2 linked regions of the Oryzias latipes genome follow. The protein of the gene in region 1 purifies or fractionates together with the protein of each later gene. This does not show direct contact. Links are inferred from orthologs where the notes say so. Each region holds a gene or a part of one and is shown in the gene's direction. Other genes may lie near its edges. The genes, in order: psmc3ip and mnd1.

Region 1 (4,538 bases):
ATCTGATAAACCAGCATTTTTAAAAATTGTTCCATCCAATAATTAAAAACTTTCAATTTAGAAACATATTACACATTTTTTTTTAATTCAACAGGGATATCGAACATACACTAGGACGAAATACAACATTCCATTAGCTTGAACTGAGCCAGTTTGGTACTAACGTTGAAAATCAGCGTTTTAATGTCACAATGCAATAGATGGTAACCATTTGAGAACAAATTCTATACCTTTTCAGAAACTATTCATGGTGTGCCTCTGTCCTTGACTTGTTGGCATGACCTTTTGATAATGGATTTCTTTAATCAACTTCATTTCAGTGATTTTAAATGCTGATCAGAGCAGTAGATTTAATAAAAAAAACTGTTCATTCAAGATTGAATTTAAACTTTTCTGAGTTTTATTTTACTACTGACTGATAAACAAACCCGCAGAATCTTGTTGGAGCCAATTGATGGTACATACGTGTGTTGCAAGTTTGACCGTAATCCCTAAGAAAAGAGGCGCTTCTTTTTTATTTTAGGATTTTTTTCTTCTTCATTATTTTGCACTAATTCTCAGCTTTGTGTGTATTCTTTTTGGAGAAAAAAGATCTAAAAAAAAAATCCTTCAATATTTTTTCTGTCATGTTTTTAGGCGGCCCGAGCTTTTTTTTTAAAAGATGGAATAGAAATGTTCAGCTTCTGATATAAAAACTGTTTACAACTAGAATAAATAAAATATAGGTCTCCTTTTTTATTTTGAAATTTAAAGTGACTTTTGTTCTGGTGGTCTATACATGGTTGAACCATGTCAGAATGTCAGTGTAGAACTTGAAAGAGGGAAAAATATTGAAACAATTTCAAGTATTATTAAGGCAATCAAGATTTTTCAAGTGGAAGACATGTTGCTCTCTGTTGTTTTTAAAATACTTGCTTAAAATATGGTGTAATGTTTGCTGGATCCATCTTTGGTTGAAGGACATAAGTTGTGCACTGGCTGAAATTTGCAGACATTTTAAGAATAATTAGTTTCGATTGGTTTATTTTGGTATAAATATTTTTCCTCTCAAGCTGATCTGTAAAGTCATTTCCTTGGTGGTAAGTCATACATTTTATGTGAACAGTATTGTATTTTCTTCTCAAATGTATCTGGTTTTGATATGTTTCGGAGTGAAAATTGTATTGAATAAAAATGTTTGCAGTTATTTCTGACTTTTGCTGTATATAAAAATACTTTGTAGCTGAATTATTGAAATTCTGTCAACTAACCATTTTTATGGGTTTATGAGTGAACTGGAAAGGAGAAAAAGAAACCATAAAATAATGATTTTAATCTAGGAACCTTTTTAAAACTACACTCTTCCTGTAGATTTTCTTTATTTAAAATCACGTTTCGTTGATATCCGTCCCAACGTCAACTTAAAAAAAATTTGACAGTGGTAGGCGCCACCCACTTAAAACCTAAACAAGGGTAGATCGGAAACAAGCTGACACCTGCAATGACAGAGGTCTCACTTCGCCTGAATTTGAAAGCGCATAAAATCAAAAGATAGTCCGCAAAAATTGTAAGTGTATTATTTTGAGACTCAAACACTGTACAAGATGATACCTTTGTGTTATCAAATAAGTTTCCCCACAAAATTATAGCTATAATTTCATTTACATTAAAGTAGTTTTTTGCTTAAGCTAAGCATCTTTATATATAGTCGATCATCTCCATGACGCAAAATTCGCGCGAAACTTGATCGAGGAAGCTAAAGAGAAGCCAGCGTCGTTAAAGATGAGCAAAAAGGATAACGGTAGGGCGAAAGTAATTAAAACGCTTTGGATGTTTTCGATTTGGTTAGGTTGGTGGATTACTGAACTAACTAGTTTAGTCGAAGCTCAGGAAATAGGTTAGAAAGCCTAGCTAACTTAGCCGACGCGTTAGCTAAACTTTCGCTAGTACTGTATATGATTCGTTTTTTGGCACAAACCACTGTTTTAGTTTTTTTTTTCCTTTTTCTTTTGCCTTTTCGTGGTGGAAGAATACATCCAGCTCCTTCAGGAGATACCTGCTTATAATTGTTACATTATATGGAATAACTGTGGAAAAAAAGTTTCGTATAAAGAAGTGTTTCTTGAGAGATACGATTTATTTCAGCAAGACATAGCATTAAGTTAACCTAAGAATAGCTTCCCTGAGTATTATAGGTATAGCAAGTATAATAATAGACCACGTAGCTGTAGCGTACTAGGAAGTATACAAACTGAATACATCTGTATTGAAACATTTTAGGTTTAAAGTATATAGGAAACATTTTAAAAAGTAAACTTCAAGTATACTACCCTTAAATTTACTATTTTTTGCCATCACCTTTACCAAGAATTAAAAGTAAGTTCATTTATGTTTTATTTTTTCCATCATCTGAAGTTTTATATTATATTTAGTAATTTGCCAAATTTTATCATTTTCTCGTGTGTTCAAAAAATGTGAAATACTTAATTAAATCTTTATTTAATCTACTATTTCAACATAAAACATTTGGTCTGCTATTCTAGCCACCTGACCCATCTGTGTTCATCCCCTTAGCAAAATGTAATCTATTTAAGTGTACTACAAGTTACTTGTCCTAAAAAGGAGGCAGTTGAAGTTTACTTTTTATTTACTATCTATATATTTTTTCAATTTAAAATGTTCCAATTTAATCTGAAGAAGTATTTAAGTTATTGTACTCTCTAAATTACATGTACATAGCCTACTTGCTAGACTTAAACTGAATTTCCTTTTAGTTCTTACATATCTTCAGTTCCCAGCATTCATAAATGCAACTTTGCTTGAAATGCTGATTTCCTGTATTCTGTAAGGTCTGTTTTTTGATGATGGGTCTTAAGTAAAGTTTGTAGGATGGGAAAGCCTCCGTGATGTTGTGGTTTCTTTTTTTGTCCTGTCCAGGTGCGACACTCATCCTTGCCTACCTGAATGAGAAGAACCGGCCCTACAGCGCGCAGGATGTCTTCTGTAACTTGCAGAAGCAGCATGGTTTGGGGAAAACGGTGAGGAGGTGCTCCCATACATTTAGCTCCTGCTGTGTGTTTGCTTTTTGCCTAATGATGGACTGCATCTATTCGCTGTCAGGCTGTGGTCAAGGCCATGGAGCTCCTGGCTCTGGAGGGGAAGATCAAGGAGAAAACCTACGGGAAGCAAAAGATCTACTTCGCAGATCAGGTTGGTTTTCTCTTCAGGGAATGCTTTGAGTTTTGTAAAAAGTTTGCAGAGTGCAACCATCTCTGCCCATCTTTCCCACAGTCTCAGTTCAAAGACGTGAACGATGCAGACCTGAAGGCAATGGATCATGAGATCTCGGCTCTCTGTGCAGAGGTTCAGTCCGTCACACAAAGCTGCAGGGAGTTAGACGCAGGTGTTGATTCAGGACCCTGGGTGTATTTCTTTGAAGTTTTCTCACTTTACATTTACTTGTGATGTGTTTTAACAGAGCTGAAGGAGCTGAACAGTTCCCTCACAACAGAAGAAATGGTCGCCGAGATCCAGCAGCTGAAAACCGAATGCTCTGGGTACAGAGAGCGTTTGGAGAAGATCAAGTCGGCATCAAATCACGTCACACCCGAGGAGAAGGAGAAGGTACAAACCAAAGAAACTCCACGTCAACCCAAGACCCTCATGCATGTTTCCTCTACAGTCAAAGTCGTTTGCTTACAGGTTTACAAGGAGAGGGATGTTTACGTTAAAGAGTGGAGGAAGAGGAAGAGACTGGTAGGACATTGTTAATAAAAAAAGCATCGTCTTAAAGACATTTTTTATTAGGATAATGCAGCACAGAAAGGTTTTCCTTGGTTTCCATCAGGCTTCAGACATGATGGATGCAATCCTGGAGGGATATCCAAAGAGCAAAAAGGAATTCCTGGTAGGTAAACCGTCCAAAGATCTACTTTTTCAAGCCCTGAGGGCTCTAACTCTGTTTTTTTACAGGATGAAGTTGGAGTGGAGACTGATGAAGACTGTAAGGTGGTTTTTCCAAATACCTGAGCAAAAGGATGGATTGTGAAGCTACTAAACTAGGAAAACAAATCTGATGTTTAATTTATAAATGTGGTTTTTGAATAAATAGTACATGTTTACTCAACATTAGAATAAAAACAAGCCAATGTTATGGCATTTTTTAGTTGAAAATGAAAATAAAAACAACTATTTGTAGCACTTATGTGTCACTTTTCAGTTACGTTTTCGTGTTTCCATTTGAAAATGTGGCAAATTAAAAAAGGTTTGAATGTCCAGAAAGTTTAAGTCATTTGGTTCTAAAAGGGAGAACATGGTATTCTTCGCTTTTAGGTATAGACCAAACTGGGAAAAATGAACCCTCAGCTGAGCCGACGTCATGCTTAGGACGACGTTTTAATGCCTGAACCCGAGATTTAAGTTTTCAAAAGCTTTGTTACAAACTGCTGCTATAGCATTTTATGCCTTTTTCTCTCCATTTCATCCATTTGGAAGTGTCAATTTACTGGCCATAGAAAGCACAATTCAACAAGACAAACGGATATTTTAATAAAATGCAG
Region 2 (4,572 bases), on another chromosome or scaffold:
CACTGCTTCAAAGTGTACCGCTACCTGCAGTAGCTCATGTCATTCTCTATGAACCACCTGTGCTGTGCTACAGTCAACCACTCATCTTCATATGGAAACTGTTTAACGTCTTAGATTTTTCTTCTAATATTTGGCTTTTTGTGCCAAAAACAACTGAATAATGCCAGGTAATGAATAATCTCAGACACCCACAGCTTGCTGATCATTGATGCACTAATGTAAATTTGTTCACATCCTAATTATCGTATGCTGATTAAAAAAAAGCAACTTTATCACCATGCAGAAAACTGGGAAATAGAAAGAAACAGCTTTTTAAGGAGGAATGAGATTAAAGAGAACCTTATCACCCTAGAAATTGTAAATCACGGTAATTAAAACTGTTGAATCTTGTTGAAATATTGGAAGTTCTGATAATTTGCCTGTTCACAAAAGCAGAAAACATTGCGCCACCTTCATGCTTTAGAGCATGAAAAGACTATCTCTGAGCATGACGTAAATTATCTTGCACAATTTGTATGACATTACCATTACTGCAAAAATGTTCATTAGAGGTATTATTCTAAGAATGATGCTTAAGACGGCAATAGTGTGGGAAATCAATTCCACCCTCTTCTGCTCTTGGGTCAGATACAACACACAGCTCCTTAGTTACGCCACAAAACTGTTTATGTTAATGTTTGTATGTAAAATATTTGTTTCCATTTGTATGTTTTTATTTTTTATTTTTATTCATGATCCACTTTGTTTTCCTTTTTAAGTCTAAGGGCAAATGTTGGCAAAAATGCTGAGATTTGGTCCCAACAAAATGTATGCAACGACACTAGAGGTAGAGCTTCAATCACCTTTACTTCTTTTCATTGTACATCTGTGTTTTCAGTATGTTCGTCATGATCTTAGGAAGTGTATATTTTGGCAACTGTTTTCACGAAAGGAAAAGGGAGAAGATGGAGTATGAAGTTCATCAAGTAAAATTGTAATAATGCATCTGGGTTCCTGCTTTAGAAAACTTGGATAATTTTCTTTTAAGCACATAATTGTCACTATTTGTAATTTTGACTTTGGTCCCTCATTTTCTACACAATCCTGTAAAAGTTTTATTTTATGTATTTATTTTTATTTTAACGCCAAGTGAAATTAAAGTGCCCAAAGAAAACAGCTATGGCTACTTTCTGTAGATGTGTTTCCTATGAAAATGTACTTTGGCCTGCACAAACTTGCGAGCATAAAAGTGAGTGTTTCTTTTTTCCCAAATGTAAAAATGTATACCGGTTCATGGAACGAATCTGAAGAGGTCAATACACCTTTCTGAACAGCAGAGGGCGACAATCTCCAAGGTGTTTCGTAAACCAGGGATGCTGCTTTCAATGGCGGTAGGAATAATAAATACAAAAGTTATATCAAACCTCTTTCGGCGTGTGGAATCTCGTTAACAAAATTGTTCATCGTAACCCTTGTGCTATCCTAGACATTTTAACATTGGGAGTTGGGTCATCTAGACCCATTAGAGACAGTGCGCTGAACCTTTTTTTTTTCAATGATTTGTGATCTTCACTGGTGGATTACATGAAATCTTTCCACCTTTTTCATGGTAAGGAGAACACGTCAATGTGAGGGTGGGGTCACCTAAGATAGCACAAGGGTTAATCAGTTTGATGTTAGATATCAGCTGTAACTCTTGTTAATAGTTTTGCATATTTGTCTTTGAAATACGTATTTTTAAAAAATAAATCTTTTGGAAGAGGGATTCATGTTACACAGTTGATCAATGTTCTCAGTTGTTGGTTTATTCTGGATAAATGCCAATTATTGCTGCAATTAAAACGTTAAAATGCGTTGTGTTTGGCCCAGAATGCGTTTTTACGGGGGATCTTAAACTCAGCATCATTACGTGTCATCCTTCCGCGGGAATTTCAGGATTCTTTTTCTGCTCTTTGATCGGAAACAAAGTAGAACCTTCAATTTAACACTTTCAGATTTTAATGTTGTGGACGGCTGGAATTCTTCACATCACAAAATGGTAAGACGGGGATTTGAATATGCCAGTGTGGGTTTTTGATGTGCGGTGAAGGAAGCGCCGAGCGAACAACTATACATACTATCATGGTCTGCAATCTAGCTCACTTAAATTAAAGCGCTACAATAAGATGTCAAAATAGACAAACTTCAACGGTTAATGTAAATGGTTACGGTTAATGTTAATGTAGTTTGGAAACTACAGTGAACTTCAGGATTTTGTTAGTGAGATCTATTTTTCAAAGTATCAGGGTTGACGGGGGTTTTTTTCTTCGTAAAGAATATGACGTTGATTTGAAGATTCACAGTTAAATACATATAGAAAACCTCCCAAAAGAGTAGTTTTTATGAAAGTCTAAATTCTAAAAGTGCTTTATTTGGGGTCTAATATAATACAAGTGTATTAACTACATCCGTTAACACGACTTAAACCACCCCTAGAATGCAATACTGCCATCTGTTGGATGGGAGGAAAACTACAGATTCAGTGTTCTCTAATGTGTGTGTTATATTAGTGTTTCTTTTCCCTTTTCACCTAAATTCAAATATTCTCAATTAACAGTGGATGGGGAAAATTGCCTACATATATCATTAGTTTGCAGTATATGTGATACATCCAAACCTAAATACAATTTAAAAGAAATAATCTTTAAAGGTAAGAATATTTTACATGTTGCTCTGTTAAAAGTTGATGAAGAACAGGCATGGTCTGTTAGGATTAAAATAATTTTTTTTGTTACAGTCTAAAAAGAAAGGCCTCAGTTTGGAGGAGAAGAGAACAAGAATGATGGAAATTTTCTTTGAATCGGTGAGTTCATGTCATCTTGGTCACATTTCTGTGTCACATTGTTGATGCTGTATTGATTGTGTGGATTTAATTTAAATGATTGTTTAAAACATTTTCATTGTTTTTGCCACTTGGAAGCATCTTTTCATGAAAAACATTTAATTTTATTTTTTTGTGCATAAAAACAATATCAGATGTTGGAAAAAAATATTTTGAGTGCATTTAAAAAAATATATATATATTTTTTTGACAAAGTAAGACTCTACGGGATTAAAAGCAGCAAAGGCTTTTAATATAAGATACAACTCTGCGTGGTGTTTAGTATTGTTACTATTGATTTATAGTTTTTCAACTATAAAACATAAGAATATAATTCAAAAATAACATTTGTTTCCAAATCTAATATTGGCTTTTATTTTTAAAAGAGGCAGGCATGACTTCTTTTTAAATAAGTTGCCCTGTTCTACACATCCCTCATCTTATGTTGTTCTCACCACCGCTACTGTTACCTGAATATTAAACAGGAGGTGAAAGATTTCTAATCTAACAGAGAAGTTAATACATTGATACATAAATGTATATTATTAGCACTTCTGATTTGCACAACAGCTAAACGTTGCTGTGCAGCATAAGATAATAGGTGCCTTAATCTCATTCTAATAATAGGCAGAGTTTGCAGAAGTTTATCTTACTGTTATGTGAGCATCTCAGCCTTTAAATCGTGAATATAACAAAAATTAAATCACGTCAAGACACTTTTATTTTTTGAAAAAAATGTTATTTAATATGTCTTGTGGCCATGGAGCCACATGTGATTCAGACCCCTAGAATAGCTAAATAAATTACATTTAAAAGCTCGATTTGTTTGTGACTCATTTATGAAGACAAAAAAGAGGTAATGCATTTGTGAAGCTGTTTTCTTCTTCTCATTCCAGAAAGATGTTTTTCAACTTAAAGACATAGAAAAGATTGCACCCAAGAGTAAAGGCATAGGTGAGTGATCAACAGCTGAAACAGTCGTCAATCCACAATAAATAGACATTAAGCATTTTCTTACTCTGCCTTTTAATAAGTTTAAACCTCTATAATGTTTTTATTTTTTTACTTTTTATAAATGCTGTTCTCTAGTTGACTTGATCTGTGTCGCCCCCTGGCGGCTCACTTGGTACCTAACATGACACAAAAAACAACACACATAACACAAAAAAAAAACATACAAAAAGCAAAGTAGACAAAAGAGGATGTGGGAAATCCTCTGTAATATAAAGTCTGTATTTCTGTGCTTGTGGACTTGCTGCTTATTATTAAACCCAACAGCTGATAATGAGATAAATAGATCCGATTAATCTGTAATACTTGGCTTGATTGAAGTAACCTGATCTGACTGATCACAGGCAGTGAACGTGTTTCCCCAGATGGACTTTTCCCTCCTTATGGGGCTTCTATATGTCATTTCCAACAGTGATGAAGATTTATTCCAGACTGGTTCTTGTTTGTAAAACAAGGAAAACATGAAGAAGAAATGAAATAAGAGAATGAATCATACGAGGAAGGGATCTGCCACTTTAAGAGCCAGTGGATTCCTCCAGAAAAAAGAAAAAAAAACAACTTCCGATTTACCTTTACATAATTAAACAGATTTTTATCATCGTTGTTCACTTTTTCATCCAAGAAGGCGTTTTCAAATTACTTTGCTCCCGTCGAGTGTCAGGATCGACAATGGGTTGTGTCCCTGTAAGTGGAATAATAAAGATTTACAACATTTGAAATGT

What was found.
Region 2: the proteins of psmc3ip (region 1) and mnd1 purify together in Homo sapiens (co-immunoprecipitation; 6 studies listed by BioGRID and IntAct, counting the BioPlex papers as one, with this or other methods). This does not show direct contact. The link is inferred for Oryzias latipes from reciprocal best matches to the Homo sapiens genes PSMC3IP and MND1.

What each region holds. Positions count from the first base shown.
Region 1 is NC_019866.2:6,749,593-6,754,130, forward strand, and holds psmc3ip (homologous-pairing protein 2 homolog), read left to right. Parts: upstream 1-1,674; 5' UTR 1,675-1,761; coding exon 1,762-1,780; intron 1,781-2,916; coding exon 2,917-3,017; intron 3,018-3,099; coding exon 3,100-3,189; intron 3,190-3,270; coding exon 3,271-3,382; intron 3,383-3,457; coding exon 3,458-3,603; intron 3,604-3,681; coding exon 3,682-3,735; intron 3,736-3,826; coding exon 3,827-3,886; intron 3,887-3,951; coding exon 3,952-4,008; 3' UTR 4,009-4,179; downstream 4,180-4,538. UniProt on the Homo sapiens protein: Plays an important role in meiotic recombination. Stimulates DMC1-mediated strand exchange required for pairing homologous chromosomes during meiosis.
Region 2 is NC_019859.2:20,986,649-20,991,220, forward strand, and holds the start of mnd1 (meiotic nuclear division protein 1 homolog), read left to right. Parts: upstream 1-1,767; 5' UTR 1,768-2,014; coding exon 2,015-2,017; intron 2,018-2,755; coding exon 2,756-2,821; intron 2,822-3,735; coding exon 3,736-3,793; intron 3,794-4,572. Other genes in the region: trim2 (tripartite motif-containing protein 2), read left to right, coding at 1-33. UniProt on the Homo sapiens protein: Required for proper homologous chromosome pairing and efficient cross-over and intragenic recombination during meiosis.